Linked DNA regions of Schizosaccharomyces pombe. Changing the gene in region 2 together with the main gene of any one other region gives a genetic interaction. Each region holds a gene or a part of one and is shown on either strand. Other genes may lie near its edges.

Region 1 (3,964 bases), on a different chromosome or scaffold from region 2:
ACTGGGGGAGATGTTTACAGTATTCCGTTAGGTGGTAGTTTGCATAAGCAACCTTTAGCTATTGGAGGAAGTGGTTCTGCTTTTATTTATGGATTTTGCGATGCTAACTTTCGCGAAAATATGACCCAAGAGGAGGCTGTTGAATTTTTAAAGAACGCTGTTGCTTTAGCCATGGAACGCGATGGCAGCAGTGGTGGTACCATTCGAATGGTCATTTTAAATAAAGATGGAATGGAGCGTAAATTTTTTGCCATTGATACTGCTAACCCTATTCCCGTATTTACTCACTAAGTACTTCACGTTTCCTTTTATTTTACGTGACTATACTGATACCCAATGCTTATGCTAGACTTGACCTTATTAATGCCTGTCTCATTATTTGTAGCTTTTGGAGTGCAAGGTCATGAAGAAAAGTTACTTTTCTGGTCAGTGAGATAAGTCTTTGTGATGATTAAAATAGAAAGATTTTTTATAGTTACAGTTAACTACCGAAGTGTAGTTATATTGTTGATAGTGAAAGAATATTATTGTTATGAGTCCTATGTAATTGTCATAAGAGTAAAAATGTTGTAAGATGCCTGCAAGCACATTTAAAATTTTGATTATCAGCTTCATACAAGAAAATTGTAATCAGCCATGTAAAATATAAAATTAGTCCGAACACCGGTAGACCCTTCTAAAGAAGAATAAAATATGATGTGTCTTTTTTTGTTTAAAATTGAATGCAGAAATTATGTGAAAAGAACAAACTTTAACGGTAAGAATATACACGGTGAGATATGTATTAAGCTCTTCAACAGGTACACCGTAGTTACAGGTCAAGGAATGGAAGTGGGACAAAAAAATAATGAAGCATGAAAACATTAAAGATAAACGCCCCCCTTCATTTTTTATTCTACAACATAGTCATGAAAAGCCAGCAACTCTCCGAACGCTTTATGCCACTCGGCAGTCAAAATTTGGGGAAACTCCGTGTTGTCATATTCCCAAAATTTACCATGAGCAGCACGAAGATAGGGTAAGTCCTCTTCGGTGACCCAAACTCCATTATATGAAAAATCGAGCCTCGTCCAGGGAAACCAACCATATTTATTATAAGCAAGATTTAATAAACTTTGTTCCATCATTCTAGCATCGTCATACATATAAGGATAACGTGCTATCTTCTTAATCCTATGCATATGAAGACTACTGGGATGAACAAGCATCAGCCCGGCATTAAAAGTTTCAGATTCTTCTGGGGGCGTCGCATGTCCAGGGTTACGATCGTCACATGCGCCAAGAAGATATGGATAGAATTCTGAGCGAGGAGCACCATAGGCATCGAAATTGTCGCTAAACTGATAATCCTCTTCATCATCTGGCTTCTTAAAGATAGGAAAGCTAAACATATCGGGTTCTGCAGGAGATTCATAAACATAGGGAGTATCAAAAATGTCATCCATGTTTTTCAATACTAGGAGATCGCTATCCAGAATGCAGACCTTATCAAACTGTGTTTGCTCAAATACACTGAGTTTTGTGAACATGTATTGATAACGATAACTGCCCATGCCAATAGACAAACCACTTTCAATTAAGTCTTCAGTTTTAATTTGATCGACCATAATTATTTCGGCCCCATCAAGTCGCAATCGTTCAATTTTCCATTCATCAACCCCTTTCATAACAAGGACATGAACGGGATATTTACTTTTCGTTTCAGGATGATGTTTCAGCTTGTATACTAGTACTCGAGTAGCATTGAAGTATACATCATGTTCTGAAGTAGGAAGGGTAAGTAAGCCCATAAATGTATACCTTTTTAAATCATCTACATTATCGTTATAATATGGGCCATGCTTATGAAGCCCAAATTCATAGGCTGCCGATGAAATTAGCGATCCAGGAAATGCGGGATCCCGATATATTTGGATCCCTAAAAGTAAACCCAAATTCAGCAAAAGAATTAGTGAAATCAAGACAAATTTTGAGCGAAGTAGAAGCCTGGTATGTAAGCGTAACCGCTTAAAGAAATTCATATTCTATAAAGCAAATTTTATCGCTTTCCGCAACTTCGTTTATAGCTATAAAATCCCCACCAGAATAATAAAAACCCTAGGATTATAACTGACTATATCTCGTTAAGACTTGCTAGGTTTAATACAATAAATATAATGTAGTTTGTATTATTGAGTTTGGTAGTGGCTGACTACAATTTAGGAGACTAAAGGTACGATGTAATGCGTACGAAGTATAGTTTTTCATGTAAAATTTTAAGATTATTTGAGTTTACAGTACTTGTTATTTGACATTAAAAGGTTTAAAAAATTTATCAATTACTTGCTATTGATATTTTCTATCCCATCTTCACTCTATCTAAAACCAAGCCTTCTTTGATATATATATTTAAAACAACTTTTAAATAGATTTGCTACCTAAAACATTTTCAAATGTCTTATTGAAATCTAAAAATGAAAAACATGCTAAGGATACGTATGCTCACTAATTAGCAATTTTTATATAAATCCGTTGGTTTTCCTTTGGTCAAAGAAAAAGCATTTATAACATGTTTGCTTACAATTTTAAAATTGATGATAGGACTAACACTTGATTCTTTACACTAATTAGGAATTTTTTAAGAAGGAGCAAAATTTCTTGAAACCATTGAACTTTCAGTGAGTTTTAAACATACGTGATCTAATTTGCATACAGAGAGGAAGCTATTTTTTTGATTATGGTTTACCTGTATCCAGAATCCCATCGATCGTGTATATGAATTTGAATAGTATAGTGGTTTTAAAAAAGGACGGAGGAAACACAAATTATTTTAGAATGACTGTAAAAATGAGATAGCCTTTCAACAGTACGTGTTGTCAGCAATACATTAAATGAAAATAACTGCTTCTTAAAAGTCAAAAGCCGCCTTATTTTTTACTTGATCACGACATGAAAATTGCTTTCATCTGTTTAATATAAATCAGCATTACGTTGTTGGTCATGATACGTTTGCATTTCTTGAAACGCATCCCACCATAGCTTGGATGTGTCTTCATCATAACCTAGACTTCCTTCTGGTTGCCAATGTTTTCCATGAACTGCTTTTAGATATGGTAAGTCATTTTTTCTAGCCCAAAGTCCGTTAAAAGTCCAATCAAGTGACTCCCATGGAAAAGCACCTGCTGAATTGTATGCAAAATTTAGCAAACTTTGCTCCATCATGTTTGCATTATCATACAATTTTGGAAACCTTGCTAATGCCATTAACCTTTTATAATGTGCCTTCAATGGCTTAAAGACGAATAGACCAGCATTAAAATAATCTTTAAAAGGAGGAGGAGTTTCATGCCACATACCTGGATCGGACACAGCAGCGAAAACGTAGGGATAAAGATCGTCTCTTGTCAGCCCGTAAGCTGCAAACTCTTCTGTAAAGCGTCTCCAAAAAATGCTGCGCCTAGGCTTGTAGAATAGGGTGGGAGGAAACAGAACAGAATCCTTACTATAGGAGAGTTGGTGAACATCAAAAACTTTGTCCATTTTTTTAATAGGCAAAATATCACTATCAAGAAAACATATTCTATCATATTCGTACATTTCGAAAACTCTCAACTTGGTAAACATCATACTCCATCGGGAATCCAGTAGGGCAATGTCATTGACATCGTCAACCACTTCATGAGCATATAGTGGATCGACTACTTTAACAATAGCTCCGTCTTCCTGCAATTGATCAAGCTTCCACTGATCAATTCCCTTCATGGCTAGCACTACAACGGGATACTTGCTTTTCGTAGGTTTAAATTTGACAAGTCGGTGAACGAGAAGCCTAGTTGAATTATAATACCAATCCTGTTGCGTATTTTCTACTTCGTTTTCCCCATTAGCGGCGCGTACAGTAAGCATAGTTACAAATGCCATCTTAGAAGAGGGCGCCAACCCTGTCAGTGTGTAAACTGACCTTTGTATTTCTGGACTATGATTG
Region 2 (4,929 bases):
TTGTTCGAAAATTCGCAACTTCGAAAACATTTGTTCATATCTAGCAGATATTTCTTGACTAAATGAGGATGTATCGTATACAATATCCGATGAAGCAATGGGGTCTATAACAATCACAGAAGCACCATCCTTTCGAAAACGTTCAATTTTCCACTCATCTACTCCACGGAGTGCAAGGATATGGATAGGGTATTTACTTTTGGTAGTAGGATGATATTTCAATCGGTGAATTAAAACCCTAGTAGCGTTGAAGTAGTAATCCTCTTCAGTAGAAGGCATAGTAAACAAACTCATATACGTATATTTGCCAGGCTCTTCTTTTAAGACGGCATTATCATTTTCCTCAACAAAGTTGTTTTTTAATGAAGTAAGCCGGTCATTAAGGGTTTGCTTATAATCGTGTCCGTTAAACACTAAGGTTGTCATCACAATAATCAAAACCACAGAAAACAACAGGAATTTGTAACGCGGAAGAGATAAAAAATTTGAAAGTGAAATTCGAGACATGATAAGAGATTAATTCAACGAACCGCTGAAACAATAGAATTTGAGACACGTGAAATTTTCGAAAGCCTTAAAAAAATGAAAAAAGGCTCTAAAGATGACTCCCTTTATGAGGATGTTACCCTCTAAAATTTATTTATTTCTTTTACCCTTAAACGACTTGCGTTAACAACCCTTTAAAGAAAAAATATCCGAGATTTATGTTTCATCACGCGGGTTGCTCTGCATTTGTCAATTTATTACCAGCACGTTGTTTGTACCATGTGCCGCGCTATATTCAGTTACAGTATTGTAATTCAAATTGTGGAATTGCCTTTTACAAATCCTAACGCTTTGTTTTTTCACAATCATCTTAGTTTGTGTGTAATGGTGTCAACTTTCGAGCTATCTGGATGTTGAAAATTATGAGCTTAAGCATGTAATAGAAATTGACACTAATGAATTAATTTGGTGAAGTTGTTTCAAACAGTGAAAAATCTGACTGTTAGCTGGAAAAGTATTGGAAATACCATTTAGCTTATTGGTAAAGTAAATATTGTGTAAATTTAACGAAATATATTTTGTCGATAAATCTATTCAAATATTCTTTCTCCTTGACCTGATAGACCTCATTAATCGGAAAATGCTTCTAGGTTTGTAAAGACACAAGTGTAAACAGTGGGTGCACAGACGTAATGGAACCACCGTTAAAAAATACATCTTTTAGACTTAGCAACTAATCTATATCTTTATAAGGCCAAAAGCCAGTGTAATCAATATAAAATAAGGACATACCAATACTTTGTAGGGCCAAAAAACAAGATAAATAAAAACTTAGTATAATCCGACACGAATGATTCAATAAAACTTCTATCAGCATTTAACAGAAAATGGCAGCTGCGGTGAAATGCAAATTATTAAAAAGATTTATTAACGCCAAACTGTTATTCCAATCTTCAATATTGCATTGGTAAATTGCCAAAGCAAATTAGTTGAACCAACAGAAACAGCTTCAAAGTCAATGTGAAATATATACAATATATAACAATTATTGATGGACGATTGTGTAAAACAAAACTCCCAGATATCTCGCTATAAAAAACTAACCTGAAACTTTGATTGCTATGGCACAACCGCTATATTAATTAGGTATGTAAAGATTAAAAAATAGTAAACATTATTAGAGATTCAGATAAAGAAAGGAAGATTGACGGAAAATTATACGGCGCTTTGTTTATATATATAAAATTTTTTAAAACACAAACAAATTAAACAGACGGATATAATGAATAAGCAACTTAGTCAATCAAGGCGTAAAACTTTTGCCATAGTTCATCGCAGCGGTTTTCAACCCAACATCCAGCAAAGTGAATTACCAAATCACCTTTTTGCCATTCCATATTTTCCGGACCTTCGTGAAAAGCATTTATTTTTCTTTGAGGAATAAGGCCAACCAGCGAAGCAAGTTGTGAATGCTTAGAAATCAAATATCCAAGCATGTCTTGTTCATTATTGGCTTTCGCACATTCTGCAACAACAGGATCTGTCCAAATATCCAAAAACAAGGCAGTAGCAGGTGAATTACGGAACAAGATACTACCTGCGTTTAATCCATTGTGATCCTGTGAGATTATGACCATGAGATTTTCGATATCTTTTAAACTATAATTACTTGGTGTATAACGCAAATCCCCGTTAGCATTTATAGGCCGTTTAGTGAGGATGGTATTAGTAATTAAGGTCTTTTGCAAGTTCTCAGGTTTCAAAAAGGAGTCTTGAAGGGAAAGATGGGTATTAGTAATAATTGCATCCTGATCCAACAACCAGATCCATTCCGCTTTGGGGTATTTCTTCATAGTTTGTAAGACGGCGGGCATCTTGGACCAAACGGCGGGAATAGGGAGGCCAGTAACATTGACATACTCAAAGTTGTAGTTTTGTTTGGTACTATAGTCAACTCTGTTCTGTATAGCTTCTTCAAACGTATTAGCTCCATTATTGTAAGAAGTGTGTCCATCACTAACTAGTAATAAGACAATATTTTGACTGGCAGGATTTTGCTGAGGCTCTGACTCGTATGACGCCTCGTGGAATGTAGTGCTTGTGGCCACCAAATGAGAGTCTAACGGCGCCAACTCAAACGAGTGATTAACGGATGGAGTGCCAATAGCATCGGAGAGCATGGGTGCAATTTGCTGATCATACAACTGGTTAACCTTCGACACCAAATCAACGTCCACAAAATATATCAACGAGTATAGAAACGCGCCAGCAATCAAGCCGACCGTTAAAAATAAGAAAAAAAAACGACGTGGAATCCTGGATAACATAAGTGCCATCTTTAGGTTATAACAATTCTTCAGTAAATCAATTAGAAATAATGAAACAATAACTGGAAAACTTTTTTTGAAAAAAAGGCTTTTCCGAAATCTTAAACAACCACTAAATCAGATTGTATTAAGGTCTTATCGAAACGACCTATAAAATAACGAACGAAATCTCGAGATATAAAAATAAATCAAAGGGTTAGAGGTATATGCTGATGGTAAAAAAAAGCTTCCTGATTGTCTTAATGAGGCTGAATACGCGTTAAGCTTCCTTTGACTAGCTATCGTTAATTTTTTAAAGGCTTTGTTAAATATTTTATTAACGTCGGCTCCTTTGCCGATGGTAGAGACAACCGTAACCTTGCCTAAATTTTTATAACCCAGCAACCGGCACGTTACTTGCTTATAAAACTTTCTACGGGTAGCTATTAGAAAAATGAAATTTATGGAATGAAAACTTAGCTAAAATATTCGGATTTAATTTTGTGTCACTGATTTCATCAAAATATCTTGACCTTATTAAACAACTACTTCGACTTTTCAACAAAGAGAGAGGCTGACCAATATAGTTGAATTATACACATCGCTTTCTTTCTGTGACCGGATTTCCATCACAATCGCTACTACTATTTAACAAGGTTAACAATAATAAAAAAATCGAATAAAAGTTAACAATTATACCTATCTCTAATATACTGAACAAAACATTAGCCAGCCTTTACACTGCAGCAGCTAAAACTTATATTCCCTTGCCCATGATACTCAGCAACAACATCATGAATACAAAAAAGTAAGTCATCCAAGGAAATTTATGAGTTCAAAAAATGGAATAAAGTATTACACATTCACTACTTTAGATTGTATAGCTCCAGGGTAAACTGTCGTTCCTTAATACTTTTGTTACTTATGCACCGAATTCGACTATTTCGCATTCATTAGTGATAGACGTGAATCAACAAATCCAAGGGGTGTAGATAGTTTATAATTTATCTTGTAACGCAGTTTGTTTATCACATACTCTCTTAGAATTTGACAGTCATGACAACGACCACGGTAGCAATTGCATTTCATATGCATAATATGAAAATACTTTTTTTTTACGATAGCTTTTAATCGGCTTGGTGAAACCGTTGTTAATATTCAAACAACATTTTGATGTCTTCAATTGACTGAACCTGCTGCTTTCCTTCCGACATGCCCAGGGTCCCAGTAATAAAATTTTTGCGTTCTTGTATTTTGAGCATCCTTTCCTCAACAGTATCACGTACAATATATCTCGTCACAAATACAGGCTTTTCCTGTCCTAAACGATGAATACGATCGATGGCCTGTGCTTCCACTGACCAGCTCCACCATGGATCCATAATAAAAACATGGTTGGCACAAGTAAGGTTTAAACCAACCCCGCCTGCCTTTAAAGAGATAATCAGCACGTTAACATCAGGATCATTTCGAAATGTCTCTAAAGCCGTCGACCTCATTTGTTGTGACATGGTACCATCGAATCTAGCATACCCCATCTTCTCTGACTCGAGAACGTCTGCGATAATATCCAGGAATGTGGTAAACTGTGAAAAGATAACGACCTTTTCAGGTTCAGAACTATGAGTTAATTGACGCAATTGTCCTAAAAGGCCATTAAGTTTCACTGATTGTAGCCTATTCCAATATTTCCATTTTACTTCCTCACCGACTAAAAGCGTAGACTGTGTTCCGTTATTTTTGACAAAAAAAGGTTTATAGACATCTTGCTCATTGAAGGGTTGACGACATGTATGACAAAGCGGAGGAATTATGTTTCTTCTTTTTTGATACTGAATATGTTCTGACAAACAATCTCCGCAACAAGCATGCTTGCAGTTCAATAACAAGGGATTTTGAATTGGTTCATTACAACATATGGGACATTCCGTTATCAATGCTTCAAAAGACTTCAGTGTATCAATTTTTAAAATATCTGAAGGAATGGGCTTTCCAGTGACAACAAATTGATTAATTAAAGAATTAAATTGCTCAACCGAAAACTCAAAATCATCAAACGTTTCACTGTTAATGGTCATATTGGAAAGAAGCACAGGGTCACAACACGCCTGTCTTAATCTTAAAAGTAATCCGAGGA
Region 3 (3,921 bases), on a different chromosome or scaffold from region 2:
ATTCAGCAAAAGAATTAGTGAAATCAAGACAAATTTTGAGCGAAGTAGAAGCCTGGTATGTAAGCGTAACCGCTTAAAGAAATTCATATTCTATAAAGCAAATTTTATCGCTTTCCGCAACTTCGTTTATAGCTATAAAATCCCCACCAGAATAATAAAAACCCTAGGATTATAACTGACTATATCTCGTTAAGACTTGCTAGGTTTAATACAATAAATATAATGTAGTTTGTATTATTGAGTTTGGTAGTGGCTGACTACAATTTAGGAGACTAAAGGTACGATGTAATGCGTACGAAGTATAGTTTTTCATGTAAAATTTTAAGATTATTTGAGTTTACAGTACTTGTTATTTGACATTAAAAGGTTTAAAAAATTTATCAATTACTTGCTATTGATATTTTCTATCCCATCTTCACTCTATCTAAAACCAAGCCTTCTTTGATATATATATTTAAAACAACTTTTAAATAGATTTGCTACCTAAAACATTTTCAAATGTCTTATTGAAATCTAAAAATGAAAAACATGCTAAGGATACGTATGCTCACTAATTAGCAATTTTTATATAAATCCGTTGGTTTTCCTTTGGTCAAAGAAAAAGCATTTATAACATGTTTGCTTACAATTTTAAAATTGATGATAGGACTAACACTTGATTCTTTACACTAATTAGGAATTTTTTAAGAAGGAGCAAAATTTCTTGAAACCATTGAACTTTCAGTGAGTTTTAAACATACGTGATCTAATTTGCATACAGAGAGGAAGCTATTTTTTTGATTATGGTTTACCTGTATCCAGAATCCCATCGATCGTGTATATGAATTTGAATAGTATAGTGGTTTTAAAAAAGGACGGAGGAAACACAAATTATTTTAGAATGACTGTAAAAATGAGATAGCCTTTCAACAGTACGTGTTGTCAGCAATACATTAAATGAAAATAACTGCTTCTTAAAAGTCAAAAGCCGCCTTATTTTTTACTTGATCACGACATGAAAATTGCTTTCATCTGTTTAATATAAATCAGCATTACGTTGTTGGTCATGATACGTTTGCATTTCTTGAAACGCATCCCACCATAGCTTGGATGTGTCTTCATCATAACCTAGACTTCCTTCTGGTTGCCAATGTTTTCCATGAACTGCTTTTAGATATGGTAAGTCATTTTTTCTAGCCCAAAGTCCGTTAAAAGTCCAATCAAGTGACTCCCATGGAAAAGCACCTGCTGAATTGTATGCAAAATTTAGCAAACTTTGCTCCATCATGTTTGCATTATCATACAATTTTGGAAACCTTGCTAATGCCATTAACCTTTTATAATGTGCCTTCAATGGCTTAAAGACGAATAGACCAGCATTAAAATAATCTTTAAAAGGAGGAGGAGTTTCATGCCACATACCTGGATCGGACACAGCAGCGAAAACGTAGGGATAAAGATCGTCTCTTGTCAGCCCGTAAGCTGCAAACTCTTCTGTAAAGCGTCTCCAAAAAATGCTGCGCCTAGGCTTGTAGAATAGGGTGGGAGGAAACAGAACAGAATCCTTACTATAGGAGAGTTGGTGAACATCAAAAACTTTGTCCATTTTTTTAATAGGCAAAATATCACTATCAAGAAAACATATTCTATCATATTCGTACATTTCGAAAACTCTCAACTTGGTAAACATCATACTCCATCGGGAATCCAGTAGGGCAATGTCATTGACATCGTCAACCACTTCATGAGCATATAGTGGATCGACTACTTTAACAATAGCTCCGTCTTCCTGCAATTGATCAAGCTTCCACTGATCAATTCCCTTCATGGCTAGCACTACAACGGGATACTTGCTTTTCGTAGGTTTAAATTTGACAAGTCGGTGAACGAGAAGCCTAGTTGAATTATAATACCAATCCTGTTGCGTATTTTCTACTTCGTTTTCCCCATTAGCGGCGCGTACAGTAAGCATAGTTACAAATGCCATCTTAGAAGAGGGCGCCAACCCTGTCAGTGTGTAAACTGACCTTTGTATTTCTGGACTATGATTGTATAGCAAAACACATTGCCAACCTAATAAAATAATGCTCAAGGTAATCAGTAAACACAGTCCTAGTCGTTTGGGATGGCGAAAAGCACTAAAATATAAACGCATTTTAATGGCAATTGATTGCCAAATTATAAAATGGTGGTGCTTTCGGAGAGAATTACTCTACATACTCCCTTAATGTTTGTTGGTGCATCATACACATTTTGCTTACTTTCAATACCAAAACAAACTCAACACCCTGAAAAACAAATAACATAATTAAATCGACTTTATAACGTAAAAACATCAAATGTTTAAAAATTAAACAAGCTTACTATTTTAACTATAAGAAATGTTAAGATACATGACTCTGACTTAAAATTTTCTCTTATTTAATAAGACGTTTAACCTAAACCAATTATAGTATAATACTAAATAGTTACCGACAAGCTAAGCTACTCAAACTATGTCGAAATGGGTGAATGACGAGATAAAGACAGTTGCTTCCACTGAGGGTTAACAGCCAGTGTGAAAAAAGGATAAAATAACGGTGACTTGAAAAAAGGGCTATCGAACAACTGTTAGAAATTGTCCGGATTTTTTAGGTTATAACAATTGCTTAGGGAAGCAAATTAAGACGGGAAGCAATATCCACTTGAGTACGTAAGGTATTTGCGAGATAAACTACAACCAAAACATCTTGAAGATGTGATGAAAAAATTTTTTCAAAATCTTGGCCTTCTACGCAAGGAATTAAACTAAAGCACTTCATCAAATATCTACCGACAGCAACATTAGCAGGCGAAGAACCATCAATTACGTTTTGCACATAATCGGAAACTCTTTCAATCATAGATAAAAGCTCCAAGGTTGATCTTCGAAGTTGCTGGAGATCTGTGAATAGGCTAGCAAGTCTAGATGGGTCATTCTTAGGAGCAGCTACAGCTTTCAAACCAGAACGGACTGCCTCGTCATCACGAATGGTAAAAGGGGTAGGGACGAATGCACAGCTGTCAGCAAGGCGCTCTGTAATACCTACTGGTGAAGAAACGTAAGTCTTGATGGCAAGGGGACTGCTAACATCTGTGTTGACAGTAAGGTGAACACAGGGATGAGGATACGTTCCTAGTGGAGCAGTTCCGGGTTCAGCAGGAGAAGCATATAAATTTTGAATCAGTGCACTGAAAGCATCTAAATCAGGAGAAGTAGCATACCAACCAACGACAACTTCACGAGGGTTAGCCTTGAGGTGTAAATGGTACATCGCACGATGATATTCCATTTCAACTTCTACCTGCTCACTGCTCTCATTATGAGGAACTGCAAAACAACTTTTAATCTCAATTTCTCGGCCATCTTCAGAACGTGTTCCCAAAAGTGTACCGATAACACGTTGATTATTTTCACTTTTCCGGGTTGAATGGTCAAGGATAGAAAAAAGCACTGCTGGTTCAATGACAATGTTCAAAGGACTTGACCTGGAAGACGGTTTTGTGAGATGGAGTACGTGCTTAGTCCCCAAAGCCATTTTTTAAAATTTTCACGTTGTTGGCTACTCTCAGGTAGGTAGATCTGGTATTGTTCCCCAATCAATAATAATTTTACTGTACTAGTTTACAGTCTCATAGAATTCGTTAAATTGAAGACACTATTTTTCGCCTAACTTCTAAGGTTTACCATTTAAGAAAGTGTATTTTCAGTTGCGTTGAATAATCTAAAAAATCTCCTTAACAATGTCTCATTTGTACGTACAATAATGAGAAACTCTTTATTCAAAATTCTATAACTATTTACATTTGTACATTCTCTGGTTAAAAATCATTTATATATATATACAATGTTCAAAAAATTCGGTTAGCAAAAAAGTGTAAACATAAAACCCAAAAAAGCAGTTTGCTTTTTCTTGACTAATA

What was found.
Region 1: mutations in gmh2 (region 2) and otg3 impair growth when combined (synthetic growth defect), as found in Schizosaccharomyces pombe (one study listed by BioGRID).
Region 3: mutations in gmh2 (region 2) and otg2 impair growth when combined (synthetic growth defect), as found in Schizosaccharomyces pombe (one study listed by BioGRID).

The regions. Positions count from the first base shown.
Region 1 is NC_003423.3:3,118,337-3,122,300, forward strand, and holds otg3 (alpha-1,3-galactosyltransferase Otg3), read right to left. Parts: upstream 2,190-3,964; 5' UTR 2,022-2,189; coding exon 891-2,021; 3' UTR 501-890; downstream 1-500. Other genes in the region: proteasome core particle subunit beta 1 Pre3, read left to right, coding at 1-291; alpha-1,3-galactosyltransferase Otg2, read right to left, coding at 2,950-3,964.
Region 2 is NC_003424.3:167,029-171,957, forward strand, and holds gmh2 (alpha-1,2-galactosyltransferase Gmh2), read right to left. Parts: upstream 3,028-4,929; 5' UTR 2,823-3,027; coding exon 1,782-2,822; 3' UTR 738-1,781; downstream 1-737. Other genes in the region: alpha-1,3-galactosyltransferase Otg1, read right to left, coding at 1-507; ATP-dependent chromatin remodeller/ubiquitin-protein ligase E3 Rad8, read right to left, coding at 3,944-4,929.
Region 3 is NC_003423.3:3,120,271-3,124,191, forward strand, and holds otg2 (alpha-1,3-galactosyltransferase Otg2), read right to left. Parts: upstream 2,179-3,921; 5' UTR 2,135-2,178; coding exon 1,016-2,134; 3' UTR 501-1,015; downstream 1-500. Other genes in the region: alpha-1,3-galactosyltransferase Otg3, read right to left, coding at 1-87; tif306 (translation initiation factor eIF3f), read right to left, coding at 2,628-3,536.